Macaca mulatta: one gene and its partners. The protein of the gene in region 3 purifies or fractionates together with the protein of the main gene of each other region. This does not show direct contact. Links are inferred from orthologs where the notes say so. Each region holds a gene or a part of one and is shown on either strand. Other genes may lie near its edges.

Region 1 (4,055 bases), on a different chromosome or scaffold from region 3:
CGGCCGCATCTCACCGGTATACCAGTGCCAGGATGTTGAGCATGGTGGCCACGTCAGGGTGGCAGTGGCCCGAGCTGCGCTCCAGGTCCTCCAAGGCCTGGCGGCACAGGGGCACCGCCACCTCATACCGGCCCTGCCCCGCGTACTGGATCACGAGGTTATGCAGGGTCCGAAGGCGGGCAGGGATCTCATAGCCACCCTGCTGAGCTGCTGCTGCTCCTGCGGCCTCAGGACCTGGGTGGGGCAGGGTGGGCTCTGGGTCACTGCAAGCCTCCTAAGCCTCCTGCCCCTCCATCCTCGCACGAGGAGACACACGCCCCAGACTGCCTAACTGGCCCCTGGGACTATGGGCCCCCATGTTAACTTCTGAGATTGGAGTCACTAGCATCTAACCAGCTGGTGGGATGCATCCTGGCCTCGGGACAGGTACATGGCAGCTCACTTGCCCTGCAAGATGTGAATACGGGGCCTGCCGGGCTCATGGCAGCTACCCTGTCTTCGCAGCTCCCAGCCTCACCTGCTCACTGTCACATTCAGGGTCCTCCTGACCCTGCCCTCACCTCCCCATCCCTGTTCAGAGATTTTGGGGTTCTGCAGCTCAGAGCCCGCTCCCCACCCTGGCCCGCCATCATCTGTGGCATGTACTCCCGATACCCACCTTTCCTCTCCTCCTCCTCGCTGGGGAACAAGGAGGCCAGGCTGTCTCGGCGAGGCGGGGACTCAGACTGCTGCAGGGACAGGAAAGTGGGGGGCCGGGGGAGGGGGGCTTGTTTCAGAGACTGGAGCCCTGCATCTATCTCGGGGTTTGAGGGAGGTGGTGATCATGAGCGTCAGGGGCCCCCTGGGGGACTGGCGAGGCCCGGGGGCTTCGGGGAGCAGCTAGTGGGGGCGTCTGCGGAAGTTCTGGTGGGTCTGGGGGCTCTGTGGAGGGTTGGGGGACTGGGATTCTAAGGAGGGTCTGGGGAACCGTGGGGCTCTGTGAAGGGCCCAGCACCCCCACCTTGCCCTGCCCGTGGCACCTGGGTCTCCGTGGGCGGGTCGTACTGTCGCAGCTGCCCCAGGAACTCCAGGTGGCGCTTTTCCTCCTCCAACTGGGCCACGGCCTCCTCGCTGGCCCGAAGCCGCCGCTGTGTCTCCTCCAGTTCCTCCCGCAGCCACACGTTCTCCTGGGCCAGCCGCCGGGCCTGCGAGCGCAGCCGCTGCTTCTCTGCCTCCAGTGCACCCACGTGTGCCGACAAGGCCAGCAGCACCTGCCCAGGGTGTGGGTCCCAAGTCGAGGTTGGTTCCTACCCTGCCAGACAGCCTCTGACCCAGCTCAGACCTCGAATCAGGCCGCTGCACCCCACTACTATGTACGACACCCCCAGATTCTGCAGAGACTCCACCAGCGTGGCTCCAGTGCCCTCAGAGGCTCTAAGCAGCCCCTCTGATTTCACCCCTGAAGTTGCCCTAGGACCCACAGTTTACTGAAGAATGCCATCTGGTTCAGGGGTCCCTGTCACATACAAGGACCCCCTAGAACTGCCAAGGGACTCCATCTCTGGCCTGGAGCCTCACCTTCCCAGGCCTCGTTCCCCTAGGCTTCCGCCTGCCCCAGATATGCCTTTCTGCCATACTTTTTTTTGCTGTTTTTTGAAACAGTCTCTGTCACCCAGACTGGAGTGGAATGGCACGATCTCCACTCACTGCAACCTCCACCTCCCAGTTTCAAGTGATTCTCATGCCTCAGCCTCCCGAGTAGCTGGGATTACAGGAGCCTCATGCCCAGCTCATTTTTGTATTTTTAGTAGAGATGGGGTTTTGCCATGTTGGTCAGGCTGGTCTTGAACTCCTGACTTCAAGTGATCTGCCCACCTCAGCCTCCCAAAGTGTGCCCCTCAGCAATAGCGAACCCCTCTCCCAGTCCCCTGCATACCTGTCCCCCTCATATCTGGCCCTCCCTCCGCCCTCAGTTTATCCTCTCCCAGTTCCCCACCTGGCCCCCTCATACCTGGGCCTCGCCCAGCCCCAGCTCGATGGCCTCCAGCGAGTGGCTCACCACCTGCTGCTTTTCCTCCAGCATCTCCAAGCCAGTCACTGGGCCCTGTCCCGCCAGGGCCTCTGCCAGGTGCCCAGCCAGGCCACGGTGCTCTGCCCGCAGCGCCTCCAGCCCCTGGACCACTTGCCGCGTCTGCCGTACCAGCTCCTCAGGGCTCAGGCGCTCTGGGCCCAGCCCCGCACTTCCGGGAGCCACCACCTGCACAGACATTGCTGCTCCTGGGGTGCAATGGTGAGGGGTTTGGGAAATCATTGCCCAGGCCAGTCAGTTGGCCCCTACCCTCTATTCCCATAATGGCCATCAGGACCCCTAACTTCTCCCCATCTTGGCTCTTCCCTGCTCCACCCATCCTGGCCAGCCCTCTGCCTCCACACCGTCTCCATCCCAGTCTCCACACCCATCCCAGCCAGCTCTCATCTGGAACAGTCTAGTCTACCTTTGTCTGTCCTCCCAACCCAGGGTTCTGCCCGGGGGACAGTTCCCAAATCCTATGTGTAATTAACCAAGAGAGGGCAAACAGCTAGCCTGGGGTCCCCCATTTGCTCTCAGCTCACCTGGCCAGCCTTCCCCACCCCAAGGCCCCTGGATCCCCTGGCCCAGAGCTCCCGACCTGGGACCAGAGGCACCCTCCTCTGCCAGACGAGTGGGGCGGGGCGTGTGGAGGCGGCAGCCTCTGCGTGAGCTCATTCTTAGGGTGTTTTTGTTGGGAACCAGTCAGACCACTGGGGGTGGGTGGGGTAGGTGGGGTGGGAGGAGAGGGCTGAGGGGCCGGGGCCGGGGCCGGGGCCGGGGCCGGGGCCAGGGCCAGGGCCAGGGCCCGCGGAAGCCCAGGAGGCCTCTAGGCTGGGGGGAGTGAGGACGGGGCCATGTGTTGGCTCCCAGGCAGCAGATGGACCCTGGGGGAACAGGGGCTCTGCCCTCCTCCATCAGACAGGCTCAGCCAGCCCAGGGCCTGTTGGGACACACGTGTGATAGGTGTGGTCCAGGGATGTCACACTGGCCATGTGACAGCTGAGAGTCTGAAGCCCAGCTCATAGTGGGCGGGGGCCCCCCCTCTATGGGACTTCATGTGGTTGTATGTGGGTGACAGTCACAGAAACTTAGCTGGTGGTGACCCTGAGGTCCTCACAGACACACAAACACACTCCTCAGAAACACACCTCACACACCTGCACCCTCCCTTCTTAAATACACAATGCAACATACACATTTTCCTCTCCAAAATACAATTTGACACACACACGCACTCTCCCTTCTCTCCAATACAACATGGGGCCAGGTGTAGCGGCTCACACCTGTAATCCCAGCACTTTGGGAGGCCGAGGCGGGCAGATGACTTGAGGCCAGGAGTTTGAGACTAGCCTGGCCAACATGGTGAAACCCCGTCTCTACTAAAAATACAAAAAAAAAAAAAAATTAACCGGGGTGGTGGCACATGCCTGTAGTCCCAGCTACTCGGGAGGCTGAGGCAGAAGAATTGCTTGAACCCGGGAGGCGGAGGTTGCAGTAAGCCAAGGTCATGCCACTTGCAATCCAGCCTGGGCGGGCGACAGAGTGAGACTCCATTAAAAAAAAAAAACAAAAAAACCCACAATACACACACGCACCCTCCCAGAAATACAGTGACACATACACACACACTTCCTCATTAGAAACACAATGTAGCCGAGCATGGTGGCTCAAGCCTGTAATCCCAGCACTTTGGGAGGCCAAGACAGGCGGATCACGAGGTCAGGAGATCGAGACCATCCTGACTAACATGGTGAAACCCCGTCTCTACTAAAAAATACAAAAAACTAGCCGGGCGAGGTGGCAGGCGCCTGTAGTCCCAGCTACTCGGGAGGCTGAGCCAGGAGAATGGCGTGAACCCGGGAGGCGGAGCTTGCAGTGAGCTGAGATCCAGCCACTGCACTCCAGCCTGGGTGACAGAGCGAGACTCCGTCTCAAAAAAAAAAAAAAAAAAAAAAAAAGAAACACAATGTAGGCCAGGTGCGGTGGCTCACACCCGTACTCCCAG
Region 2 (4,204 bases), on a different chromosome or scaffold from region 3:
CGGCGGGAGCAGATGGTGCAGCCAGTCTGGATTGAGGTGGCCAGATCGGCCGGTTCGAGGCCCCAGAACATTTCAGAAGCAGCTAGTAAGAAGCAGATTTACTGGAGCGACATCTCTGAGAAGGAAAGGTATCAATACAGGCAAGGAAAGGAAGCCGTCCAGGAAGAGGTTTGCAACCACTACTTTTTCTAATGGGATTGATGTGCCTGTAGGAGTTAACACCCACAAGCTGAAACTTGGACCCGAAGATTCAGCTAGTGACGACACAACATGCTCCTGCGACAGACTGGAAACCACACATCCAACCCCTCCTCTGGACACTGCGTCCCAAACACCCCCCCACACACACCTCTCACTCCACCTACAGCGCCCGCATCAGACCCCCACTACGGTAAACTCTACTCCAAAGTTGGCTGCAGACCTACCTTCTCGGCGCTGTCCTGAGAATCCAGCAAATGTACTCCAGTCCGTTCGCCCTTCCCTCGCCGGCGTCCCCTGCCCCCTCTCCTCACCTGGCCATGCCCTAGGCCTCTGGGAGCCTCCTTCCCCCCTCCGGGCCGTCCCCAGGTGCCCCTGCTACAGGAGTCAAAGAGAACACCCAAAGCCTCACAGTGAAGGCTCCCCCTGCCAACCCCTTGCCCTGGAGCCCGCAGGCGCGCTCCGACGAATCCGAGGGCGCGTCTCGCGCTGCGCAGGAGGCCCGGCGGGTCCTGCCGCCAGCCCGGGGTGGGTACGCACCTTCCAGCCGGCAGAGCTGTTGCTGTCGCCCTTATCCTTGAAGTAGGGCACGCAACGCACCATCCACTCGTAGATCTGGGACAGAGTGAGCCGTTTGTCCGGGGAGCTTTCGATGGCGCGGGTGATCAGGTCCGCGTAGGACAGGTTTCCCCAGGCGTTCCGCCGCGACGAGCATTTCCTCGGCTGCCCGGAGCCCCCAGCCGCCCCCGGCTGCGGCGGTGGCAGCGGCTGCTGAGGCTGCAGCAGCGCCTGTGTACCCCCGCTCAGAGCGCCCGCCGCGGTGGCTGGCCCAGACCCGGGGTCTTGCCCTCCGGGTGCCAGCACCCGGGCCGAGTCCTCAAGGAGCAGCCCGGAGCCCAGCGTGCCGCTCCCGCCGCCGCCGATCGCCATGGCCGAGCCGGCCCGTCCCCCGCCGTCCTCGTCGTCTTCATCGTCGTCCTCCTCGGGGATCATGGAGTCGGCGGCCGTCTCCCCCGAGGGCTTAGCAGGGCTCGCTTGGAGCTCCGGCCTTTGCAGGGGCCACGTACAGGAGCGCGGACGGCTCTGGGGCTCGAACTCCGGGTCCAGCTCCACTTCCAGCGGAGAGAGCGGGGCCGGGGAGGCCGGTGCCTCTGCCATCTTCGCCGCCCGCCCGCGGCTGGGGCTCTCGCGCTCTCCTCTCGCGCCGGGGCGGGGTGCGGCGGGGGAGGGACGTGGGCGCCGCGAAGGCTCCGGCTCCCGGGCGCCGCCGCCGCCGCCTGGGGAAGCACCAGAGGAGAGAGAAGGAGAGTTGGTTATCCCGGGCCGGAGCGCAGTCCTCGGCGAGTCCTCGCCCGCCGCCACTACCTCCCAGCCTTGCCGCGCCCGCCTCCCAGGAACAGGCGGACCTGGAGACGTGCGGCCAGCGAACCTGGCGCAGCAGACACCGCCCCCTGGCCAGGCCGCGGGGGAGCCGCGAGCGAATCGACGGCCTCGCGCGGGGCAGCCCCCTCCCCCCGCGGCCCGCCGCAGGTCCCTCCCGGGCTAGGCGGCGGGGCGGGGAGAAGGGGGAGGGGCGCCCGGGGGAGGGGCGGCCGCGCCTTTAAAGCGGGCAGCGGCCGGAGCTGGCGCAGCCGAGCGGCGGTCAGAGCCCGAGCTCGGGCGTGCGTGCGTTTGTTTATGTTTCGCTCGGGCCCGCTCTAGTGCCTTCCGCGGCGCCGCCGCTCAAGTCTGTGCTGTCTTCGGCTCTTCTCCCCTTTCCCGGCCCAGCTGCCTCCGCGACCCCCCGTCACCCCTAACCCGGTCGAATGGCCCGAGCCCGGGGACTGCGCGGGCAGCTCCCTCTCCTCTCTTCGTCCGCGGGGCGGAGGGCGAACGGGGGTCTGGGCGCAGATGGGCCCTTGTCACTTCCAAAAAATAAAGGAAACACGGAAAGAAGGGGAAGGAGCAGCCCGGCGGGCGTTCGCAGAGGGTCGAGCCCGGCAGGGACGGCCACTTCGGGATTTTGTGTGGTTTGCATTCTCGCGGACGTCGTCCCCTCCGCCCCCTTCCCAGTCGGGATCCGGGGGAGGGAGCGAGTCGGAACATAAATCTTCCAACAGGTCGGGAAGCGCCAAGTCTCCCGGGCTGCTAGAAAACCCGGACCAGCATGTTCATCACCTCCTTGCTCCCGCTGCTGCCATCTTGACAGTTTCCCCCTTCCCTTGAGTCCTTTAAAAACACTAGCGGGCGAGAAGGGGGGCGCGCACACCGCGGCTCGGGGAGGGGAAAGGGAAGCGCCCGGCCCAGCTCGGAAGCAGATCCGGAGTCACCGGGAAGGCGGCCGCCCGCTGCACGGCTCCGGCGCCTACCTCGCTTCCTTCCCTTCAGGGACGCGGCGGGACGACGCACGATCCCGCGCGGGCCCGGGGCACGGCGAGGAGGGGGCGCGCAACCTCGGCGAAGGAGGAGCGCTCGGGCCGTCGCCGCAGCCCGCCCGAGGAACCGCCTGTCAGCTCGCGCGCCGCCGCCTTCCACATTCCTCCTCCTCCCTTCCACGAGCAGGGCGGCCGCAGCAGCAGCACAAAGTTATAGACACACGCAGGGCGCCTCAACCTAAGCTGACGGCGGGCGGGCGGGCGGGTCCCCGCCCAGGGGGAGGGCTGGGCGGCGGGCTGGGCGCGCGGCGGGCGTGTGTGTGTGAGTGCGCGTGTGTGAGCTCGCGCGCGCCTGCGCGGGCCAGCTCCGCGGGGCTGCGGGCGTGGGTGTCCGGGAGCGCGCCGTGAGCCGGGATTCGGCGGGCTCCCGCTGCTGTCCCCGCTGGGCTCCTCCTCCCTCCCGAGAGCCCCAACGACAACAAAGCGCGGCGTTGGCCCGGGAGAGGAGGGAGAGGAAAGAGAAGCGGGAGCTGCAGGAGCGACAGCCTCCGACGCTCCAAGGAGCGCAGCGGCGTGGCCTCCCCGACTCCGGGCAGGGCGCCTGGTACCAGGGTCCCCGACCTGCGCGTCCGCCCGCCGGGCTCTGGGCCAGCCCAGGTGTCCGGTTCCCTGTTAGAACCCGACACTAGGTAACACCCGAGGTGAGATGCTGGGCGTGGATGGCAAGGTTTACCGCGGCGTGGAAATACTGAATGGCGAAGATGTTGGCGCCTGCACAACTTCGATAAGCTGATGCTCACAGATTCGATCAGGCACCAAAAGGTTTGCACTGAATCTCTCGCCTCGGACGGTGGACCACAGTCGTGTTTCACTTTTCATGTGTTTCATGGCAAACGGGGGAGAGGTGTAACTAACTCCGAAGAAATGCAAATTTACCCCTGTCCTACATTCAAGAGCAGATTCCGAACAATTGAGAAGGAGAAATAATTTTAATCTAATTTGTAAATGACGACAAAACCGCTACGTGTGCATTTTTGACTTTAAAAAAAAATACGTATCCTTTAGGTTAAACAAAAAACATCTGCACAAGTCCTTTTTCTACGATCCGTGCCCCAAATCGTTTATTTGTACTCTACGAATGCACTACACGCGACATGCACACCAAAAGTCTAGACACTAGTTCATAAATATCTTTTTTTAAAAAATCCTTGTAAGTCACCAGAGATAGCTCAGAGTCTAGAAGCGGGCTCCTCAACGACCCCATATACAAAAAGGTCCAGCCCAGCGTACACAGGAGCCAGCCCGCCCCGCCGCCTCCGGGCTCCGGGCTTTGCGCAGCTCCCGTCACTCAAGTGACGCGCGGCCCCGCCCCTGCACCAAGCTAGTTCGACGCGTACAAACAGATGATGTCATCGTCTCCACACGCGCGTGACCCCGGAGCTCTCCGCCGCGTCGCCATTCGCTGCGCGGCTTACTCGTCAAGGCACGCCGCGTGCTTACTGGCCGCGGCTACCAGTCTCCAGGCCCCAGACGCCCCTCTCCGCCCCCCGCCCCCGCCCCCCAGCAAATAATAAACAATCGAGTAAAATTCTAAGGAAGGAGAGAGAGGAGAGGGAAAAAGGGAAAGGGCGCACTAGAAACCAATCCTTCGC
Region 3 (4,198 bases):
GTCCTTTTCCTGAATACAGCTTAGCTCTTCCTCCCGTACCATTAAATAATCCATATAAATTGATTCCAACGCCCCAGGATAGAATTAAATGAGGGTACATGTAAGTTTAGGCATTAATTCAACACAGCAAGCAAAATAAAATAGGCCTACTGCAGTTAACAGAAAGATAAAAGAGCAGCTGGAAAACCAGCATTTGGGTACAAGTATCCAACAAAGAAATCCTGCTAATATACTGTCTTACCTTCTTCCACCACCGACACCTGCTAAATTCTGTTTGGTGACCAGGACTCCGGCAACACTTCGTCCCAGAAACAAAAAAATATTGCACTCAATAAAGGAATGGACACAGGCAGAGGACACAGGTAGAAATTCCTGGTGTCTGTCTCCTTCTCCTCCTCTCCTTTCTACTGAATCCCTACCATATGCCCCAAGTCACAGGAATAGCTCCTCACCTTGCAGATTCTATTTCCTTACCCCTTTAGATCCTGAAGGGGACACCTAACATTAACAACTGTAAGGATGTGGCTTTATCAGAGTCCTATGTTCAATAACCAGTAAGGGCTCTGGTCAGAAATCTTCACCACTCACATCAAAAATATAATTATCACTAACCTGTCATTTAATTGGAAACTACAATCATAAGCTTTCAAATCGGTTTTTTAAAGGAGCTTTCAAAAAAAAGACCTTCTCTCACATCCTTTCTAGTTATCACAGCAAGTTTACTCAGAGCTCCAATGCCCACAAAACAGAAAGCATTCAAGTATAATTTGTTTCCTCCCAAGAACACTAATAGATGAAGAGGGGAACATCTGGAGATGAGGAGCGGAGGAGGAGACTTCCAATACAAGCACATCTTTATCTGTTTGATTTTTAAACACTGAAATAAAGACAAAGCTGACCTTGAGCTGTACTTCCCCACCTAATCCCCCTCCCTCTCCCAACAGGAATCTTGTTCAATACAAATAGCAATTTAACAATTTACAAGACGAAATTTAGTTTAGTATTATTCCAAATTTGACTTCTAGAGGCCTTGTCTTATTTTCAAATCCCTGAATCCTCGTTTCTGATAAGGGGGAGTAGCCCTGAGGTTATCCACATGACTAAATCTGCATTTCCAGGAAAGCAACGGCCCTACATAACATTTTGAAATACAGGTAGCTTAATCAGGAAAAATCTAAGGATCAAAGATACTTGATTCCAACCATGTCTCATCCCACCCTACCACACAAAAGCATTAAAACCACAGGACCCACATACATGACTTTTCCTTTAATACTACAGTATCGCACAATTATAAATGTGAGGGTATTTCAAAAGGTGGACTGGGAGGGAGGACTAAGAATAAACTTCCTGACAATGACTAGACAGACACAATGGATATTTTGATAAAGTTATGAAAAAGGACTGGAGAACCCGTTATGGGCAAAGGAACAACGAACAAAGAGGAACTACTAAAATTTCTACATAAACCCATTTATTTGAAATGGAAAAAAAGAAAGCAACAGGATCTCCAACCTTCATAACTCAAAAACCCCAGCCTCAGCCGAGTGCCTGGAATAGGTTAAGCTCCCCCACGAAGTACAGACCAGCATTCCGAGCCTGCAGAGTCAACCAAAATACAGTGACTGAACACTATTGGAAATAACTTTATTTCAACAGGTCTTTCCATGTGTCATGATGGTGCGCACAAACTGTAAAGTCATCGTTTTTACAAACGGGTGGACTGAGGCTCGGGCCCTACAAAGGCTCGAACTCTCAGAGTCGTGGCCTCCTGGTCTCCTGCTTCTATCCATCAGAACCCACTGGTGATGCAGTCAGAGAAAGGTTACAGGAACTTCGAGGTCTCCCGTTTTAAGTCTGAGGAAAGGGGAGGGAGTGAGGGTTTTCTGGGCCTCCCCAGCAGGCGGCGAGGAGGAAAAGCCCCAAACCCCCTCACTACGAGGTGCCGGCCCACGGGAGAGAAACCCGATCGCAGCGTCGGCGCCTGCCACCGCCCCAGACGAACCGCAGTGATTCCCGCTCACCCCTCTCCCCCCACCATCACCCGGGACTGTCCCCCGCCTCAGGCCTGAGGAAGCCCATCGCTCTGAAGGCTTCTCCTTTGTGAGACTCCACGGCCGCCGCCCCACACGGGGCCTCCGGGGAAAAGCCACCGCCCCCACCCGCCATATTTCCCTGAAAGGCGCCCGCGCTACAGCTCCCGGTCTCCGCTCTCTCCCATGTGGCGGGTGCTGCTTCCCCCGTCACCGCACCCAATTGTTCTCCACATCCCAAGACCGTCCCAGAAGCTCCCCTGAGGGCTGCTCGTTCGGAGACAGCACCCGCCATCTCCTCCCCCTCCCCCGCCCCGAGACTCGCCCTCCCCCCAGCCGCCATTTTACAACCAACTCCTCCACCCCGTCTCCCCGGCCTCCCGGCCCGCGAGTTGTTTGCAGTTAAGGACGGCGAAGGGGTCACATTCCAAGGCATACAGCCTCCCATTGCCCCGGGAGCTCCCAGGCCATTTCCTGCTTCCCGAACCCAAGCCCCCGGGCCAGGCTCGCAGACGATGCCGCCATTTTGTCTCCTGTTCCCGGCCTCTGTGGGCGGCGGCAGAGGGTCCGAGAATTCCAGCCCCCCGCTGCCCCCCCAACTCACCGTCGTATCGCTCAGCCTGCTCGGCCAGCTTCGCCTGGTACACCAGATCCTCTCGATCATCCATAGCGGCAGCGGCTCCGGCAGGGTATGCGCGACGGATGGAAGCGGATAGTGTCTCCGACTCTCTCAGCCTCTCGCTCCGCGTCCGGGCAGCAAAAATGGCGGCGCCTCAATCCGGGACTTCCGCCTGCGCACGCGGACAACTGCTCAGCTCTATGGCAACCGCTCCCTGGCAACTGGCGCGGGGGGCGGGTCCTGGAACTCGACGCCCGAAGAGGCTGGAACCAGCGCAGGAGACGCTCCTCCTCCGTCGGCTCAGCGGGCGCCGGAGCCCAGAGGCGGGAACTGCGACTGCTGAGAGGGAGCGGCCCCCGGGGAACGGGAAGGGCTGAGGCGGGGCCGGCCGGGACTGCTCCTGAAAAAAGCCGGCGGGAGACCTGGGCCCGAGGCCCGACCTGCGGAAGAGAACGACGGAGGCGCTAACGGTTTCTGTCATGGCAGGTCTTACTCCCCGAAAGCAGCGGCTGTCACTACCGTGTCCTGGTTTCCTTTTGTGTTTTTGTTTTTTTTTTGAGACGGAGTTTCGCTCTTGTTCCCCAGGCTGGAGTGCAGTGGTGCGATCTCGGCTCAACACAACGTCTGCCTCCCGGGTTCAAGTGATTCTCCTGCCTCAGCCTCCCGAGTAGCTGGGATTTCAGGCGCCCGCCACCAAGCCCAGCTACCTTTTGTATTTTTAATAGAGACGGGGTTTCACCATGTTGGTCAGGCTGGTCTCGAACTGCCGACTTCAAGGTGATCCGCCCACCTCGGCCTCCCAAAGCGCTGGGATTACAGGAGTGAGCCACCGCGCCCGGCCCGCGTCCTGGGTTTCTCCGCCACTCCTGGTCATGGGCCCATTTCAGACACTTTTACACTCAGGGTAACGAACTGGGCCCTGGCCGGGTGCAGTGGCTCACACCTGTAACCCCAGCACCTTGGGAGGCCAAGGCGGGCGGATCACAAGGTCAGGAGTTCGAGACCAGCCTGGCCAACATAGTGAAACCCCGTCTCTACTAAAAATACAAAAAATTAGCTGGGCGTGGTGGTACATGGCTGTAATCCCAGCTACTCAGGAGGCTAAGTCAGGAGAATCTCTTGAACCCGGGAGGCAGAGGTTACAGTGAGCTGAGATCCCCCCATTGCACTCCAGCCCAGGCGACAGTGCGAGACTGTCTCAAAAGAAAAAAATATATATATATATACACAAAAATTCGCTGGGTGTGGTGGTGCACCCCTGTAATCCCAGCTGCTTGGGAGGCTGAGGCAGGAGAATCTCTTGAACCAGGGAGTCGGAGGGTGCAGTGAACCAAGATCACACCATTGCACACCAGCCTGGGCAACAAGAGCACAACTCCATCTCAAAAAAAAAAGAACTGGGTCCTGTTGTAGCCAGGGACAGGGGAGCTCCAGTTGTCAGGCATCAACTTTCCCCTCACACTGATCTTTTTCTTCTCCTCCTATTTAACCTTTTTTCCTCCCTAGGCCCACCATGAATAGGAGCAGGGAATTTGTTAGATGAGGA
Region 4 (3,500 bases), on a different chromosome or scaffold from region 3:
AGTCTGTGAACATGGGGTGTCTTTCTATTCATTTAGATTGTCTTTAATTTCTTTTAACATTGTCTTGTGAAGTAGAATTGTTTTCTTAATTTTTTTCTCATTCATTGCCAATGTATATTTTAATACAATTGAATTTTGTATATTGTTCATATATCCTGTGGCTTTGCTGCACTCATTTATTAGTGCTAAGAGGTTATTTTTGTGAATTTGGGATTTTCGGTATACTAGATGATATCATCTGCAAATGGAGATAACTTCACTGCTTTCTTTCCTGTCCTGATGCCTTTTATTTTCTTTTCTTTGCTAATTGCCCTGGCTAGAACTTCTAGTACAGTGTTCAGTAGAAGTGGTAAGAATGGATGTTATTGTTTTGTTCCTTTTCTTAAGACGGAGTTTTGCTCTTGTCACCCGAGTTGGAGTGCAGTTGCGTGATCTTGGCTCACTGACCTCCGCCTCCCGGGTTCAAGTGATTCTCCTGCTTCAGCCTCCCAAGTAACTGGGATTACAGGCGTGTGCCACCTTGCCCAGCTAATTTTGTATTGTTAGTAGAGACAGGGTTTCTCCATGTTGGTCAGGCTGGTCTTGAACTCCCAACCTCAGGTGATCTGCTCTCCTCAGCCTCCCAAAGTACTGGGATTACAGGTGTGTGCCACCTTGCCCGACTAATTTTTGTATTTTTAGTAGAGACAGGGTTTCACCATATTGACTAGGCTGGTCTCAGACTTCTGACCTCAGGTGATCCGCCTGGCTTGGCCTCCCAAAGTGCTGGGATTACATGCGTGAGCCACCGGCTTGGCCTCTTATCTTGTTTCTGAGTTTAGGGGAAAAGTATTTAGTCATTCACCATCAAGTATGATGTTAGCTGTGGGTTTTTCTTACACTTTGTCATGTTCAGTAAGTTCCCTTCTATTTTTAATTAGTTGAGTATTTTTATATGAATAGCTGAATTTTGTCATATCCTTTTTGTACATCTATTGAGATGATCAGGTGGTTTTTTGATTTTTCTAGATGCAGTTTGTTAGTGTTTTGTTGAGGGTTTTTGTGTGAAGGTACGTACCTAAGAGATACTGGTCTCTAGTTTTCTTGTGCCATTTGTCTGGTTTTAGTAGGAGGGCAGTAGACTTAATAAAGATGAGCTGCAAAGTGTTTCCCCTTCTCTTCTGTTCTTCTGTTTTTTGTTTTTTTGTTTTTAATTAGTTTTCAAGTTACGCTTGTTTCGCTAGGGAGCCTGCCCCCAGAGCTCCTCACACTACAGGTCTAGGAGTAGAACTGTACTTCACTGATTGTTAATTTTAGATTACTTCTGTATTTTAAATTATTCTTTTGGCATTCCTGTTACCATCATTTTTATGACCTCTCTGCACGCAAAACAAATGTTTCACCCTTAGAATGCTCTGATATTTTTCATCATTGTACCAATCCATTGGAAAAAGAATCTAAATTCTAATGTTCTGAATAATAGTGATCGCATTCCAAAATGTGGATGTTGTCTGTAATCTTGTACTTTATCCTTTTATTAAAATGTTTTATAAATGTTTGATGGCTTGGTGGTTCCGGGTAGCTAAGGTTACGCAAGCAGCAGCGTTGCAGTGTGACGTGGAGGGAGTACTGTGTATCCAGCACCTGCTGACTAAATTCCCTCTGCTCGACCCCAGCAGGACACCCTGACTTTTTAACACACTTGTTAGAACTCCAAAATGTCAGGCTCATAGTTTATATTTTAGTTCTGTATGGCTTTTGATAACGTTAATAGTACTGACTTGTCTTTTTCCTAGATAGCTGTAAACCACATGAGTGGAGTTTTTAATGACGCCAGATTCGTCTTTGTTTTAGAGTTGTTGCCTGCAATCTCTATCCCTTTGTGAAGACAGTGGCTTCTCCAGGTGTAACTGTTGAGGAGGCTGTGGAGCAAATTGACATTGGTAAGTCAGAAAAACCATTTTAGAAGACTGAGAGAGGAGAGAATTATTTAAATTTTAGTGAGATTTCATTTTGACTTTCATTACTGAGGAAATAGAAAATAACTGCTTCTGGATTGTGTTTTGGGATTACTATAATTCATTTATATTTTCTTTTTTCATTTATATTTTCTTTTTTTATTTTTTTTGAGACGGAGTCTGGCTCTGTTGCCCAAGCTGGAGGGCAGTGGCATGATCTCGGCTCACTGCAAGCTCCGCCTCCCGGGTTCACGCCATTCTCCTGCCTCAGTCCCCCGAGTAGCTGGAACTATAGGCGCCCGCCAGCATGCCCGGCTAATTTTTTGTAGTTTGTTTAGTAGAGATGGGGTTTCACCGTGTTAGCCAGGATGGTCTCTATCTCCTGACCTCGTGATCCGCCTGCCTTGGCCTCCCAAAGTGCTGGGATTACAGGCATGAGCCACTGCGCCCGGCCTCATTTATATTTTCTAAGCTATTTTTTGTGTGCAGAGATTCATCTGGGTAATTTTCCTGATTTTTTTTCTCTTTTTTTTTTTTTTTTTGAGACGGAGTCTTGCTTTGCCCCCCAGGCTGGAGTGCAGTGGTGCAATTTCGGCTCACTGCAACCTCTGCCTCCCAGGCTCAAGTGATTATCCTGCCTCAGCCTCCTGAGTAGCTGGGATTACAAGTGCACACCACCAAGCCCAGCTAATTTTTTTTTTTTATTTTTAGTAGAGACGGGGTTTTGCCATGTTGGCCAGGCTGGTCTCGAGCTCCTGACCTCAGGTGATCCATCTGCCTCAGCCTCCCAAAGTGCTGGGATTCCAGGCGTGAGCCACCGTGCCCAGCTTATTTTCCTGATTTTTAAGTCAAGAATTAAAATGGAAGTACATGCACAATGACTTTATTTCAAAGAGGTTCATAAGCTGATAGGGACATACAAAAATCATTATGTCTTTTGTTCTTCAAAGGTGGAGTAACCTTACTGAGAGCTGCAGCCAAAAACCATGCTCGAGTGACAGTAGTGTGTGAACCAGAGGACTATGTGGCAGTGTCCACGGAGATGCAGAGCTCCGAGAGTAAGGACACCTCCTTGGAGACTAGACGCCAGTTAGCTTTGAAGGTGGGATGCACTGTCATGATATTGTGAGTTATATCCATGGAGTGCAGCATTTGCCAGACCAGTCAGTATTCAATTCTTGGTAGATTGCATCACCTACCAAAGCTCTGCGTGGGGTTGCTGTCCTTTTGTTAAAAATTGAGAGACCAGCTATTACAGAGGTATTCTGTCACAAAGATTGAAAGAGGGCCGGCGCGGTGGTTCACACCTGCAATCCCAGCACTTTGGGAGGCCGAGGCTGGCAGATCACCTGAGATCAGGAGTTCGAGACCAGCCTGGCCAACGTGGTGAAACCCCGTCTCTACTAAAAATACAAAGATTAGCTGGGTGTGGTGGTGTATGCCTGTAATCCCAACTACTCGGGAGACTGAGGCAGGAGAATCGCTTGAACCCAGGAGGTGGAAGGTGCAGTGAGCCGAGATCACACCACTGCACTCTAGCCTGGGTGGCAGAGTGAGACTTTG
Region 5 (4,052 bases), on a different chromosome or scaffold from region 3:
ACAGTCTCACTCTGTTGTCCAGGCTGGAGTGCAGTGGTGTGATCTCGGCTCACTGCAACCTGTGCCTCCCAGGTTCAAGGATTCTCCTGCCTCAGCCTCCCGAGTAGCTGGGATTACAAGCGCGCCACCACGCCCAGCTGATTTTTTGTATTTTTAGTAGAGACGGGGTTCCACCATATTGGCCAGGCTGGTCTCAAATTCCTGACCTCAGGTGATCCGCCCACCTCAGCCCTCCCAAAGTGCTGGAATTACAGACTTGAGCCACCGCGACCGGCCTAAATAATAATAATTTTCAACAGAATACATTGGAATCTCATTATAAACGCCTGCTCTGGGCTACGATTTGCCTGTCAAGGAATTCACAAGTCATAAACTGGAGGGGTGGACCCGAGGTGATGCCCACTAGGAGCAAGGTGACAGAGAAGCACGAAGCACAGCGCTTTTCAAGCCTGGGAGCGCAGGGAGGCCTTCACCAGAAGGTGGGAACCCACCACGAAGCGCCTTCAGGAGGCCCCGGGATTCCAAACCAATTAAGGGCCTGCTCTTCCGAAAACGGGAGGCGACGCGCTGAGCTAAGCGCGCAGGCTGGGGTGCGGGCCGGCACCGAGGCGGCGCGGTCTCGCGACCGCCCTGGGCAGTGACTGGCTCGTTCCGCCAGCGGCCAATCCACCCCGAGTCCAAAACAGAAGACAGCCCTGGGATGAAAGACCCAAGCCTGGGTTTAGGGTGGAAAAACAACTATTGCTCGAGGCCCGGAGACGGGCGTCCCGGGAGGACGGGGAAGGGAGACGAGCGCCCACCGCGGAGAGAACGCGGTAGGGTTCCTCTCCCCGAAGGTGGCGGCCGCAATAACACGGCCTCGAGAGCGGTTTCGAGGACGATGGCTCCTGCGTCCCGGGAGTCGCTGCGACGCCGCGGCCTGGCCCACACCCGGCGGGGGAGGAGACCAACCGCCATGTTCCCCGCAAAGCCCAAAGCGACAAGGCACGGAGCCCGGCACACCGGCCCCGCCACCAGGGACACTCCGGCTCTCGCGAGACCCGAACACTGCGACGCGAAGACCTCTGGGAAAAGCGGGGGGAAGGGAGAGGAAGGAAGCGGGGCCGGGGCTGGAGGCGGGCCGAAGCCGCGAGTGGAGCCTCAGGAAGCAGAAGGGGCGCGGAAGGACGCGATTGACGTCGCAAGCGAGCCAATGACGAGCGAACTGTGGCAGACCTCCAGCCAATGGGCAGTGAGGCCTGACGCGGGGGGCGGACGCTGGGGCCGAGGGTAGCTTGAGCGCGGCGGCGGCGTTGTTCAGTCAGAGCGAGAACATTCCAGAGGTGAGTCCGGTGGTGGGGCGGCGGCCCCGCGCCCCCTGCCCGGTGCTCCCCGCCCCCTCGACCCCGCGGGCCGCTGGCTGGCGGGGAAGGCGCACCCCCCGACCCGCCCGCGGCTCACGGCGCCGTCTCTCCGCGCCAGGTCGCCAGGCTCCGGCGCTGACGGGTGTGGACCGCGGACGTCGCTGGGACAGCCCCTCCCCGCTGCTCGGCGGCGGCACCTGGCCCGGCCGCTCCTCGCTGCGCTTCGCCTCCGCCTCCTTGGACTCGGACTCGGGTTTAAATCGCGCCTCTCTTCATCCCAGTCCCGGGCGAGCAGCGTTGGGTTTATGTCTTTATTTGACGAAAACGGTGAGTCGCGGGCGCGGCGGACCAGGAGATGGCGGCCGCACAAGATGGCGGCGGCCGCCGCGTGACCCCGCCGCGGCGTGTGGCGCAGTTTGGGCGGACGGCGGGCGGGCGCGGGCTCGGGCACCGGCCGCCCCCTCCCCGCGCGCTCCCCGGCCTGGCGTCGCCCCCTCCCCGGCCTGGCGGGAGCGCGTCGCGCGTGCCCGCCGCTCGGGCTGAGTCAGGCTTCAGCTGCTGCATTTGTGAGTCATCGCGCGCTCCTGGCGGGGGCGGCCCGAGCCCCGGCACCCCTCGGCTGGGTGTCGCTTCCCGGCTGCGCACCCTCCGGGGCCCGCCGGCTCCCGGGGGACGCGCTGGGGATGGGGCCAGACGCTCGGGTCGCGCGCCGCCCTCCTTCGCGGAGGTGTCCGGCTCGCCAGCCCCCGCGGAAACGCCTCGGAGCGCCGTAGCCATGGGGACCGGGTCGAAGGTTAACCGAGTGTTTGAATAGCGAGGAAAAGGGAGGCCGGGCCGAGCCTCCCTTGCTTAATGGCACTTTTGGGCGAGCACTGCTTCTAAGGAAGTGCTGCTTTGAAGTAAGCCATGGTTGCCGAAGCAACAATTAGTGGTAGAGAATAGTTTCCTAGTTACCCCTTAAAAATGATGGCGAAGGGGGGTGTGCCTGAGAAGTTTCCTGATCCAGGCCGGGTGGGGGCGGAGAGGGTTCGGGTTCGTTCTTCAGCACTTCTAGGATGGCCGCAGAGGCAAACCTGCTGATTGCTGTCGGTCTGATGGAAACTCACGGCGGCTGAGGCAGCGCAGCTTCTGTTTTCTTATCAGGCATTTCCCTACCAGAGTCACAGCTTAGTCGAAATGGAGGCCTTTTATGTTCCCGCAGGTTGTACTGTGTGACGTGAGAATGACTGCTTGTGATCTCAGATGGTTTTTAAAGTGGAATTAAGCAGAAGCATTACTAGGATGTAAAAGGAGGTGTTTCCATCCAGCGATGATGTTAAACCTGGGGGGATTTTTGTGTGTTCTTTCCCTTTCTTTTTCAGAGCTGTTGCGCAGCCATTGGTACCTGTATTGGGGAAACATAGCATACAAGCAAGAAGCTTACAGCCTCAGTGGCGAAAATTTTTTCATGTCAGAGACCGAGAACTCTTGCAGTCGTTTATGTCATCCCTTCTTCTCCAGACAGAAGATACCAAAAAGTTGCAATCAAAGATCTCTTCATCTTATTGATAAAGCCACTAATAAGCCAAAATGTCTGTCAATGTCAACCGCAGCGTGTCAGACCAGTTCTATCGCTACAAGATGCCCCGTCTGATTGCCAAGGTAATAAACTACTCTTCAATTTAGTTGATAACTCTTTTTGTAGAATTTTGGAGTTTGCATCTGTCAGGGGAAACTGCACAATTAAAATTCTTATTTCCTTTAGGTCGAGGGCAAAGGAAATGGAATCAAGACAGTTATAGTCAACATGGTTGACGTTGCAAAGGCGCTTAATCGGCCTCCAACGTGTAAGTAAATCTTGGAAAAGTTCATAAAGGGCATATTATGGGATAGAGACCTCAAAGTAGTTGAGCTGCAAAACTTGTTCTAATTGTATGCTGGCTAATTAGCTTGCAAGTTAGTGAGGTACCGTGGTTTATTGGTTGCCATGAGTTCACAAAACTACCAGGGGAACACATTTAATTAAAGTGGATGGCCGGGTGCGGTGGTTCACACCTGTAACCCCCAGCACTTTGGAAGGCTGAGGCAGGCGAATCACGAGGTCAGGAGTTCTAGACCAACCTAGCCAACATAGTGAAACGCTGAATCTACTAATAATACAAAAATTAGCCAGGCATGGTGGCATGCCCTGTAGTCCCAGCTGCTCAGGAGGCTGAGGCAGGAGAATCACTTGAACCCAGGAGGCCGAGGTTGTGGGGAGCTGAGACCATGCTGTTGCACTCCAGCCTGGGTGACAGACTCCATCTCAAAAAAAAAAAATAAAGTGTGGGTATAAATGTGGGTGAATAACCAAAGATTTAGTTAACTAACGATCCAAATTCCTCTTTCATTCAAATAGATCCCACCAAATATTTTGGTTGTGAGCTGGGAGCACAGACCCAGTTTGATGTTAAGAATGACCGTTACATTGTCAATGGATCTCATGAGGCGAATAAGCTGCAAGACATGTTGGATGGATTCATTAAAAAATTTGTTCTCTGTCCTGAATGTGAGAATCCTGAAACAGATTTGGTAAGTGCTTTTGTGGTTGTCAAAAGAAAAAGCCATATGCCTTTTGTTACCGTTAAGTCACCTTCGTGAGAAGGCAGCAAATATAAGTCAAAGACAAAATCTCCAGTTTTGGAGATATTTCTGTTCTTTTTTTTTAAAGTAGGTCACTGTGAAAAAAGT
Region 6 (3,500 bases), on a different chromosome or scaffold from region 3:
CCTGAGCTCTTTTGGTATATGATACAGCAGGAGGAATGGATGGACCAGCTATAATTTAAAAAAAAAAAATAGCATAATGAGCTGAAAAACAACTGATTTATTTTCTGCTCACAAACAAAAACTCTGTATTAAAATTATCCACATTTGCATGCTTTAAACTCTGAACGAAGATTAAATTGTGATTTCAAAAATCAGGTCAGTCCCTGTAAAAGGGATTATATTTATAATTCAGTAATATAAGTCTGTGAGAACTAGATGACACAAGTACATAGATACGTGAATGTACAATGCTTTAAAAACACAAGTTTAGGTAGAACCCGTGTGTTGTTTCACTTATTTGACTTTTTCCCCTACCATGATCACTGAAACGCCGCTGCTTCTGATTTGCTGAGATACTTCTCTGGACCTTCAGGTGAGCAGGGGACTGAAGAGTGCTGTTGTTTAAGTCACTACTGGGCCGGGACCTCTGACACAAGTTTCCACTGGATAATGATTCACCACCTTCAAACTATAAGAAGAAAAACCACAAGGATTTTAAAGCAAAAAAAAAAAAAAAAAAAAAAAAAAAAAGTTTGCACAAATACTGCACTTTTGATTTTCTAAATGATTTAAAGTTATATAAGAAGTAATCCAAACTGAAAAAACAGTGTAGTATTGGGCCTAGAACTTTAAGTTGGCAAGCAGGAAAAGGAGTGAACTGGATAGAATATGCTTTAGTGACTACTCATAATCTTCTATTATCTTGTACAAATCCTTAGTTTAGTCAAAATACCAAAGAACAGCTACCAATTATTGAATGGTTATTATAGACTAGGCACTGTGCTAAGCTCTTTCTATATGTTACTTTATTTAATCATCACAACAAACCTATGATGTATTAACCTACACTTTACAGATGGAAAAACTGAGGTTAAAAAAGTTAAGGGGCATTATTGAGATTCAAACTTAAAATAAAATCTAAAATTTTAAATATACACACATGTATATACACATATGTATGCATATAAACATACATATAGATTTGTTTGTTTTGTTTTCTCCACATTTGCAAAAAAAAAAAAAAAATACAGTTTACTGTTTCTGATCAGGAAACCGTATCTACTTAGAACTCAGCATGGTAAACTGCGGGTTGACACACTATCCCTCTCTCTGTAACATACAAGTTGTTTGCTGCCAGCAAACTTTTGATGGCCTCACTGGCATCCCAATAGGAAATCTAAATTCATATACAGATAATACTAGTGATAAATCGCAGAGTAATACTGATGATGATAAACAGCTAATGCAGAGCACATAATAATCCGCTAGAAACTGTTCCGAGTTTTTAAGCCCATAATAATCCACTAGAAACTGTTCCGAGTTTATAAGTGCTCATTCATTTAACACTTTCAATGATCCTAAAAGATAAGCACTATTATTGCCCTCATTTTATAGATAAGAAAACTGAGGCACAGAAAATTAATTGCCTTAGTTGCACAGTTAGTGGTTGTGCTGGGATAGGGCAGGGGTTGGGGGGACTTAGATCCAGTGAAGCTGGCTCCAAAGTTCAGGCTCTTACTACTTACCAGTAGCCTCATCCATTTATATTTGATACAATTCACACTTCATTTAAATTCATGCATGGTACGGTTATATACTTATAAAATTAGTGCTTCTTTTATATTTAAATTAACAGGAAAATTAAAGACCTCAGGAGTGTACTTTAAAATCTAAGTAGAAACAGTTCAAAGCCTTTAGAAATAACCATTTGTACTATTTCCCACTTAAAATTCTCTTGACTTGGCTTCTTTGATACCACATCTCTAGCTGTTAATGTCTCCACTAAAGATTCTCTTCCATTATAATAGTACCCACCTGGTAGGTTCACTGGGAGGATTAGATTAATTAATATTTGCAAAGTCCTTAGAACAGTCCCTGGCACATTACTATGTGCAATGTGTTCCCCTCTAATGAAGACTCCAAATCTGTTAATTATTCAAATCTCTCCCCCTAATTCAGATCTATATATCCAAATGCCTAATAGACAGCTCCATCCAACAGAATCTCAAATTTAACCATCCCAAATTGAACTTCTTCTCTTCCCCCTGAAATCTGTACCTTTCCTATCTTGGCAAATGTGCTTGCACAGTCATCCATATTGGAAATCTCATGGGCTCTTATCTCTTATTTCTAACTGGTCCCCAAGTACTACTGTTAATTCTACTTCTTACATGTCACACAGACCTGCCTTGGTGGGTCTGACCTTAGCCTACTGTAGGTACATGTCCACCTATATGCTCCCAGAGTATGCTGTGCATCCCCCAAATGAGAACACATACTGTACCATACTATTAACTGCTCGCCTCACCTCTAGACCAAGGGCTCCTTGAGAGCAGAGACTTTCTCGTCTTTCTATTCACAGTACCCAGCATCGTTTCTGGTACAATAAAGGTTCAATATATGCCAGCTGGAATGCACTGCTCCATTAACAGTTACTATGGAATTATAAATAATTTCAGCTTTTTGTCTCTAAAATACCTCCCACAGATGTCTAATTTCCAATAAATTGTTAATGTCCTGCAATCTGTTCTTGACTCTCCATGTATAGCCTTTATATTTGTTTTGCTAAAGAATCATTTGCTTTTATGCTTCATGATACGGTTTGGACGCTCTGTCCCCTCCAAATCTCATGTTGAAGTGTGACCTCCAATGTTGGAGTGGGCCTAGAGGGAGGTATTTGAGTCAAGAAGGTGGACCCTTCATGAATGGCCTGGTGCTGTCCTCATGGTAACAAGCTCTCCCTCTTTGTGTTCACGCTAGATCTGGTTATTTAAAAGAGCGTGGCACCTCCCCCACCTCTCACCTGCTCCCTCTTGCCATGTGACATGCTGGCTCCCCCTCACCTTCCATCATGTCTGTAAGCTTCCTGAGGCTCTTATCAGAAGCAGATGCCAACACTATGCTTTGTGTACAGCCTGCAGTACTGTGAGTCAAATAAGCTTCTTTTCTTTATAAATTACCCAGTCTCAGGTACTTCTTTATAGCAATGCAAAACTGACTAACATAGTTCACCATTTGTATACAGTTATTTTCTGAGTATATCTCCTTATTATAGTTCTCCTGGCCTTGAGAATTCCCAACTGAAAGCATCAGTCACTTGACACTTTATAAGGCAAAATGTCATCACATAACCTTTCCTGGAGTTACCTCTTTTAACAATCCTTTAAGACATACATTTTATTTTAAATGCTATCACTTCCTCACGTTTCAGTCACTGTCTTTTCTGCACACCTGGAATAACCATATTACCTTTGGTGGGACTGTTACATTTGGATGCACAAGCTGTGGGGGAGGCCATTCTCAAAGGCTAGGCTGTGAATGGTGGCTCCTGGAGCTAAGAAAGACAGTAGGCCTATTCTTTCATAAAATCTGTCTTGGTACCCAGAAATAAAACCAGTTTGTAATTTAACATTGTGATTTTTGAGTTCCAACAAATAAGAATGTTAGAGTAGGATCTTTAT
Region 7 (3,500 bases), on a different chromosome or scaffold from region 3:
TCACAGCACTTAAAACACCCTGCTGTGCCCCAAAATGAAATCCTTTGCAGAGTCGGTGATGCTATGGATTACAAGCCTGGTTCCAGAGCTATTTAGAAAAAAGGAAAACTTTGCGCCCTCCTCTTGACTCCTTGAGCAAACCCAACATCCTGTAAAAAACTCAAGATCCCGGGGGTATCATGATACTCTGCTGTTAAGGAGCAATTGCCTTCCTTCCCTAAGGCTACGCAAACACACCGTTCCACAAGTACACGCCCATGCACGCACACACTCTCACGCAGTTTCTCTGAGGAGGCTGACTCAACCCCCCACCCTGGCCAAATTCTAAGACACAAGTGCCCTTTGAAGCAAAGGGGCTAGTGAAATTCCCCGAGCTGGGGTCGGCAGACCCGTTCCTTCCCTGCCCATTGCTCTCTTCGTGGCAGGGATACTCACACTCAGGGCCGCCATGGGAAGGGTCTGCTCTGGGGCTGTCCCTCCCGCCACCAGCTCCGTTTATCTTGTCCCAGCCAGTCTCTCGGCATGGTCGAGCTTGCTGGAGCGAGAAGATTTCCGGCTGCCCTGAGTCGGAGCCCTCCACTCACCCCCATTCCCAGGCTTGGCCCCCAGCCTTGGGGCCTCGACACTTGTTAGTAGCCATGAGAGAGTCAGTCTGTGTGGCCCCAGGAAGTAGCCTCTCAGTTTTAGTTCTCCTCAATCAAATTCAAGTCCAGGTCCCCAAAGTCCTGCTGGCACAGTGTCCGCTTGCTCAGCGCCTGCCGACCCCACCGCACAGCCCCCTCCTCCTCCTCTTCGCTTTCACTCAGCACCTGGGAGGAACCCCCAGTGGGGCTGCAGGAAGCAGAGAGGGGTGGGGGGCTACAGGCCATGAACCACGGTGGAGAGATGCTGCTGCCTTCCCGGGCTGTTTCTTGGAGACAGAGACCTCCTGAGTATGGTTTCTGTCAAACAAACAAAGAAGACAGTTACACCTGAAGGCAAGAATTCTAAGGCTTTAGGGTAAGGTTTGTAAACATTCTTTTTTTTTTTTTTGAGACGGAGTCTCGCTTTGTCACCCAGGCTGGAATGCAGTGGCATGATCTTGGCTCACTGCAAGCTTCGCCTCCTGGGTTCACGCCATTCTCCTGCCTCAGCCTCCTGAGTAGCTGGGACTACAGGCACCCGCCACCATGCCCAGCTAATTTTTTGTATTTTTAGTAGAGACGGGGTTTCACCGTGTTAACCAGGATGGTCTCGATCTCCTGACTTCAAGATCTGCCCGCCTTGGCCTCCCAAAGTGCTGGGATTACAGGTGTGATTTGTAAACTTTCTGACAAAATTTGGCGCCCATTATTTCCATTGGATTCAAGAATAGAAGCTCTGTGAGGGCAAGAACATCATCTGCAGTGTTTCACTACTCTGTACTGCCAGTGCCTAGTCAGAGTCAGTAAATATTTGCAGATGGGATGGACGACTCTATGAAAAAGTTAAATCAATTCTTTTTTTTTTTTTTTTTTTGAGACGGAGTCTTGCTCTGTCGCCCAGGCTGGGGTGCAGTGGCCGGATCTCAGCTCACTGCAAGCTCCGCCTCCCAGGTTTAGGCCATTCTCCTACCTTAGCCTCCCGAGTAGCTGGGACTACAGGTGCCCGCCAACCCGCCTGGCTAGTTTTTTTGCATTTTTTAGTAGAGACGGGGTTTCACTGTGTTAGCCAGGATGGTCTCGATCTCCTGACCTTGTGATCTGCCCGTCTCGGCCACCCAAAGTGCTGGGATTACAGGCTTGAGCCACCGAGCCCGGCCTAAATCAATTCTTAAAGAGGTTTGTAACCCAGTGGTCTAGAAAGAATAATATGAAAAGAGTGAGCAAGTGCATACATACAATAACTATACTCAAACCAGGAAGTCAAAAAACATTGGTCTAACAAATGAATACACTGTAGCAGCCCATCTTGCTTCAGCCTTCACAGAACCACTTTGAAGCAGTGACAGGCAAGTGGCAAAACCAGCTTTGGGCACAAGGAGTAGGTACTGATGATGAAATTTTTTGCAGCTTATGCATTCTTGGAAAGGAGGGAAAGTACCTCTTGCAAGACAATTTGGGATCCCTGTTGGAAGGTTTAACATGGGTCTCACCCCAGTTTCTCTAACTCCCAGGATTAAGGCATTTCACAGGATGGGGGGACTTTCAGTACTAAAACTGGGACAGTCCCAGCCAAGCTGGGATGGTAGGTCACCCTGAGAGCTAAAGGAGGTGCTGTTGGTGGCGGAGGGGAGATGGGAGCGGCAGGGTAATGAAGCTAGGGGCTAGCTCAAAAGCGGAAACAGAACAGAGTCCCCACACTCCCATGCAAGCTCCTCTAGTCTTGTTGGTCCCACCTGATTCATCTTGTCAAAGTCCAAGGAAGGCCGCAGACGCCGGGGGTCCTCCTCGTGGCGCCGCTTGACCCCAGTTTTGCGGGCATCCAGATCACAAGGCTGTGAGCGGCTTCGGGGAAGGTTGCGGAGACCTCGAGGTCGCCAGGGCAGCTCTGGTGAGGATGCAGGAGAGCTCCGGGCAGAGGGCAAGAAGCGGCTTGCCTGCGGGCCCAGGCTGGGTGACAAGGAGAAGCGGCGCTGAGGTGGGCAAGGTGACAAGGACTCAGCATCACTCTCCCAGGAGCCACTTTGAGGGGAGGCAGCGCAGGGTCGAGAGGAATCTTGGGCCAGGGCCAGGCTGAAGAAAGGAGGGCTATAGGGTCTGTGGGCTGGGACACATTGAGAAGAGGCACTGGGAGCTTGGAGGAACCTGAGGCTGGAGACCCGCTTCGGGGGGCTCTGGTGAGGCACCTGCGGCCCACCCCCTCCACCACTGCCCCGGTGCTTGATGGGAGTCCACAGCTTGGAGGGGGCGGGCCGCCACACTGGCTGCCAGCGAGACAGGTCCACGGGCACTGAGAGTGAGCGGCAGTGCCTCTTGGATGGAGGGGCAGGGGGCACAGGAAGCTTCTCTGGGTCTGGGGGCTCAGGTCTTAGGACTTGGGAGAGGGGCTGCTCCTTGGGGGAGCTTCCCCGACTGGGTGGTCTGAGGTGCAGGCTCAGGCCTGAGGGATGGTAGCTGAAGTTGAGGCTGTCCTGGAACTCAGCACAGGAACAGTGGGGCAGGCCCCTCCAGGAAGCACCTTCTGGAAGGCATTTGTAATAAAAATAATATTAATGATAGCTTACATTTTTTAAGAACTTACCACGTGCCACACAATGTATGGAGCATTTTATGTGAAAATTTCCAAAAACTTTATGAGGTAGGTAGTATCATTATCATTATCTCCATTTCACAGATAAGAGAAATTCAGTAACTTTCCCAAAATCACACAGCAATCAAAAGACCAAAGGAGGGGCCGGGTGCGGTGGCTCAAGCCTGTAATCCCAGCACTTTGGGAGGCCGAGACGGGCGGATCACTAGGTCAGGAGATCGAGACCATCCTGGCGAACACGGTGAAACCCCGTCTCTACTAAAAAATACAAAAAAAAAAACTAGCCGGGC

What was found.
Region 1: the proteins of YWHAE (region 3) and KLC3 purify together in Homo sapiens (affinity purification with mass spectrometry; 3 studies listed by BioGRID and IntAct, with this or other methods). This does not show direct contact. The link is inferred for Macaca mulatta from reciprocal best matches to the Homo sapiens genes YWHAE and KLC3.
Region 2: the proteins of YWHAE (region 3) and FOXO3 purify together in Homo sapiens (affinity purification with mass spectrometry; 4 studies listed by BioGRID and IntAct, with this or other methods). This does not show direct contact. The link is inferred for Macaca mulatta from reciprocal best matches to the Homo sapiens genes YWHAE and FOXO3.
Region 4: the proteins of YWHAE (region 3) and ATIC fractionate together in Homo sapiens (co-fractionation; 3 studies listed by BioGRID). This does not show direct contact. The link is inferred for Macaca mulatta from reciprocal best matches to the Homo sapiens genes YWHAE and ATIC.
Region 5: the proteins of YWHAE (region 3) and EIF5 purify together in Homo sapiens (affinity purification with mass spectrometry; 3 studies listed by BioGRID and IntAct, with this or other methods). This does not show direct contact. The link is inferred for Macaca mulatta from reciprocal best matches to the Homo sapiens genes YWHAE and EIF5.
Region 6: the proteins of YWHAE (region 3) and MARK1 purify together in Homo sapiens (affinity purification with mass spectrometry; 3 studies listed by BioGRID and IntAct, with this or other methods). This does not show direct contact. The link is inferred for Macaca mulatta from reciprocal best matches to the Homo sapiens genes YWHAE and MARK1.
Region 7: the proteins of YWHAE (region 3) and FAM53C purify together in Homo sapiens (affinity purification with mass spectrometry; 3 studies listed by BioGRID and IntAct, with this or other methods). This does not show direct contact. The link is inferred for Macaca mulatta from reciprocal best matches to the Homo sapiens genes YWHAE and FAM53C.

What each region holds. Positions count from the first base shown.
Region 1 is NC_133424.1:57,866,622-57,870,676, reverse strand, and holds the start of KLC3 (kinesin light chain 3), read right to left. Parts: upstream 2,801-4,055; 5' UTR 2,726-2,800; coding exon 2,593-2,725; intron 2,257-2,592; coding exon 1,991-2,256; intron 1,251-1,990; coding exon 1,020-1,250; intron 729-1,019; coding exon 659-728; intron 235-658; coding exon 15-234; intron 1-14. UniProt on the Homo sapiens protein: Kinesin is a microtubule-associated force-producing protein that may play a role in organelle transport. Plays a role during spermiogenesis in the development of the sperm tail midpiece and in the normal function of spermatozoa.
Region 2 is NC_133409.1:13,664,492-13,668,695, reverse strand, and holds the start of FOXO3 (forkhead box protein O3), read right to left. Parts: upstream 2,801-4,204; 5' UTR 2,547-2,800; intron 1,476-2,546; 5' UTR 1,357-1,475; coding exon 739-1,356; intron 1-738. UniProt on the Homo sapiens protein: Transcriptional activator that recognizes and binds to the DNA sequence 5'-[AG]TAAA[TC]A-3' and regulates different processes, such as apoptosis and autophagy.
Region 3 is NC_133421.1:2,944,593-2,948,790, forward strand, and holds the start of YWHAE (14-3-3 protein epsilon), read right to left. Parts: upstream 2,801-4,198; 5' UTR 2,702-2,800; coding exon 2,638-2,701; intron 1-2,637. UniProt on the Homo sapiens protein: Adapter protein implicated in the regulation of a large spectrum of both general and specialized signaling pathways. Binds to a large number of partners, usually by recognition of a phosphoserine or phosphothreonine motif.
Region 4 is NC_133417.1:120,529,082-120,532,581, forward strand, and holds part of ATIC (bifunctional purine biosynthesis protein ATIC), read left to right. Parts: intron 1-1,833; coding exon 1,834-1,922; intron 1,923-2,887; coding exon 2,888-3,039; intron 3,040-3,500. UniProt on the Homo sapiens protein: Bifunctional enzyme that catalyzes the last two steps of purine biosynthesis.
Region 5 is NC_133412.1:176,739,776-176,743,827, forward strand, and holds the start of EIF5 (eukaryotic translation initiation factor 5), read left to right. Parts: upstream 1-1,252; 5' UTR 1,253-1,322; intron 1,323-1,459; exon of another isoform or gene 1,460-1,461; 5' UTR 1,462-1,670; exon of another isoform or gene 1,671-2,704; 5' UTR 2,705-2,912; coding exon 2,913-2,984; intron 2,985-3,087; coding exon 3,088-3,169; intron 3,170-3,720; coding exon 3,721-3,893; intron 3,894-4,052.
Region 6 is NC_133406.1:78,453,310-78,456,809, reverse strand, and holds part of MARK1 (serine/threonine-protein kinase MARK1), read right to left. Parts: intron 509-3,500; coding exon 355-508; intron 49-354; coding exon 1-48. UniProt on the Homo sapiens protein: Serine/threonine-protein kinase. Involved in cell polarity and microtubule dynamics regulation. Phosphorylates DCX, MAP2 and MAP4. Phosphorylates the microtubule-associated protein MAPT/TAU.
Region 7 is NC_133411.1:147,210,230-147,213,729, reverse strand, and holds part of FAM53C (protein FAM53C), read right to left. Parts: intron 3,142-3,500; coding exon 2,357-3,141; intron 942-2,356; coding exon 684-941; 3' UTR 1-683.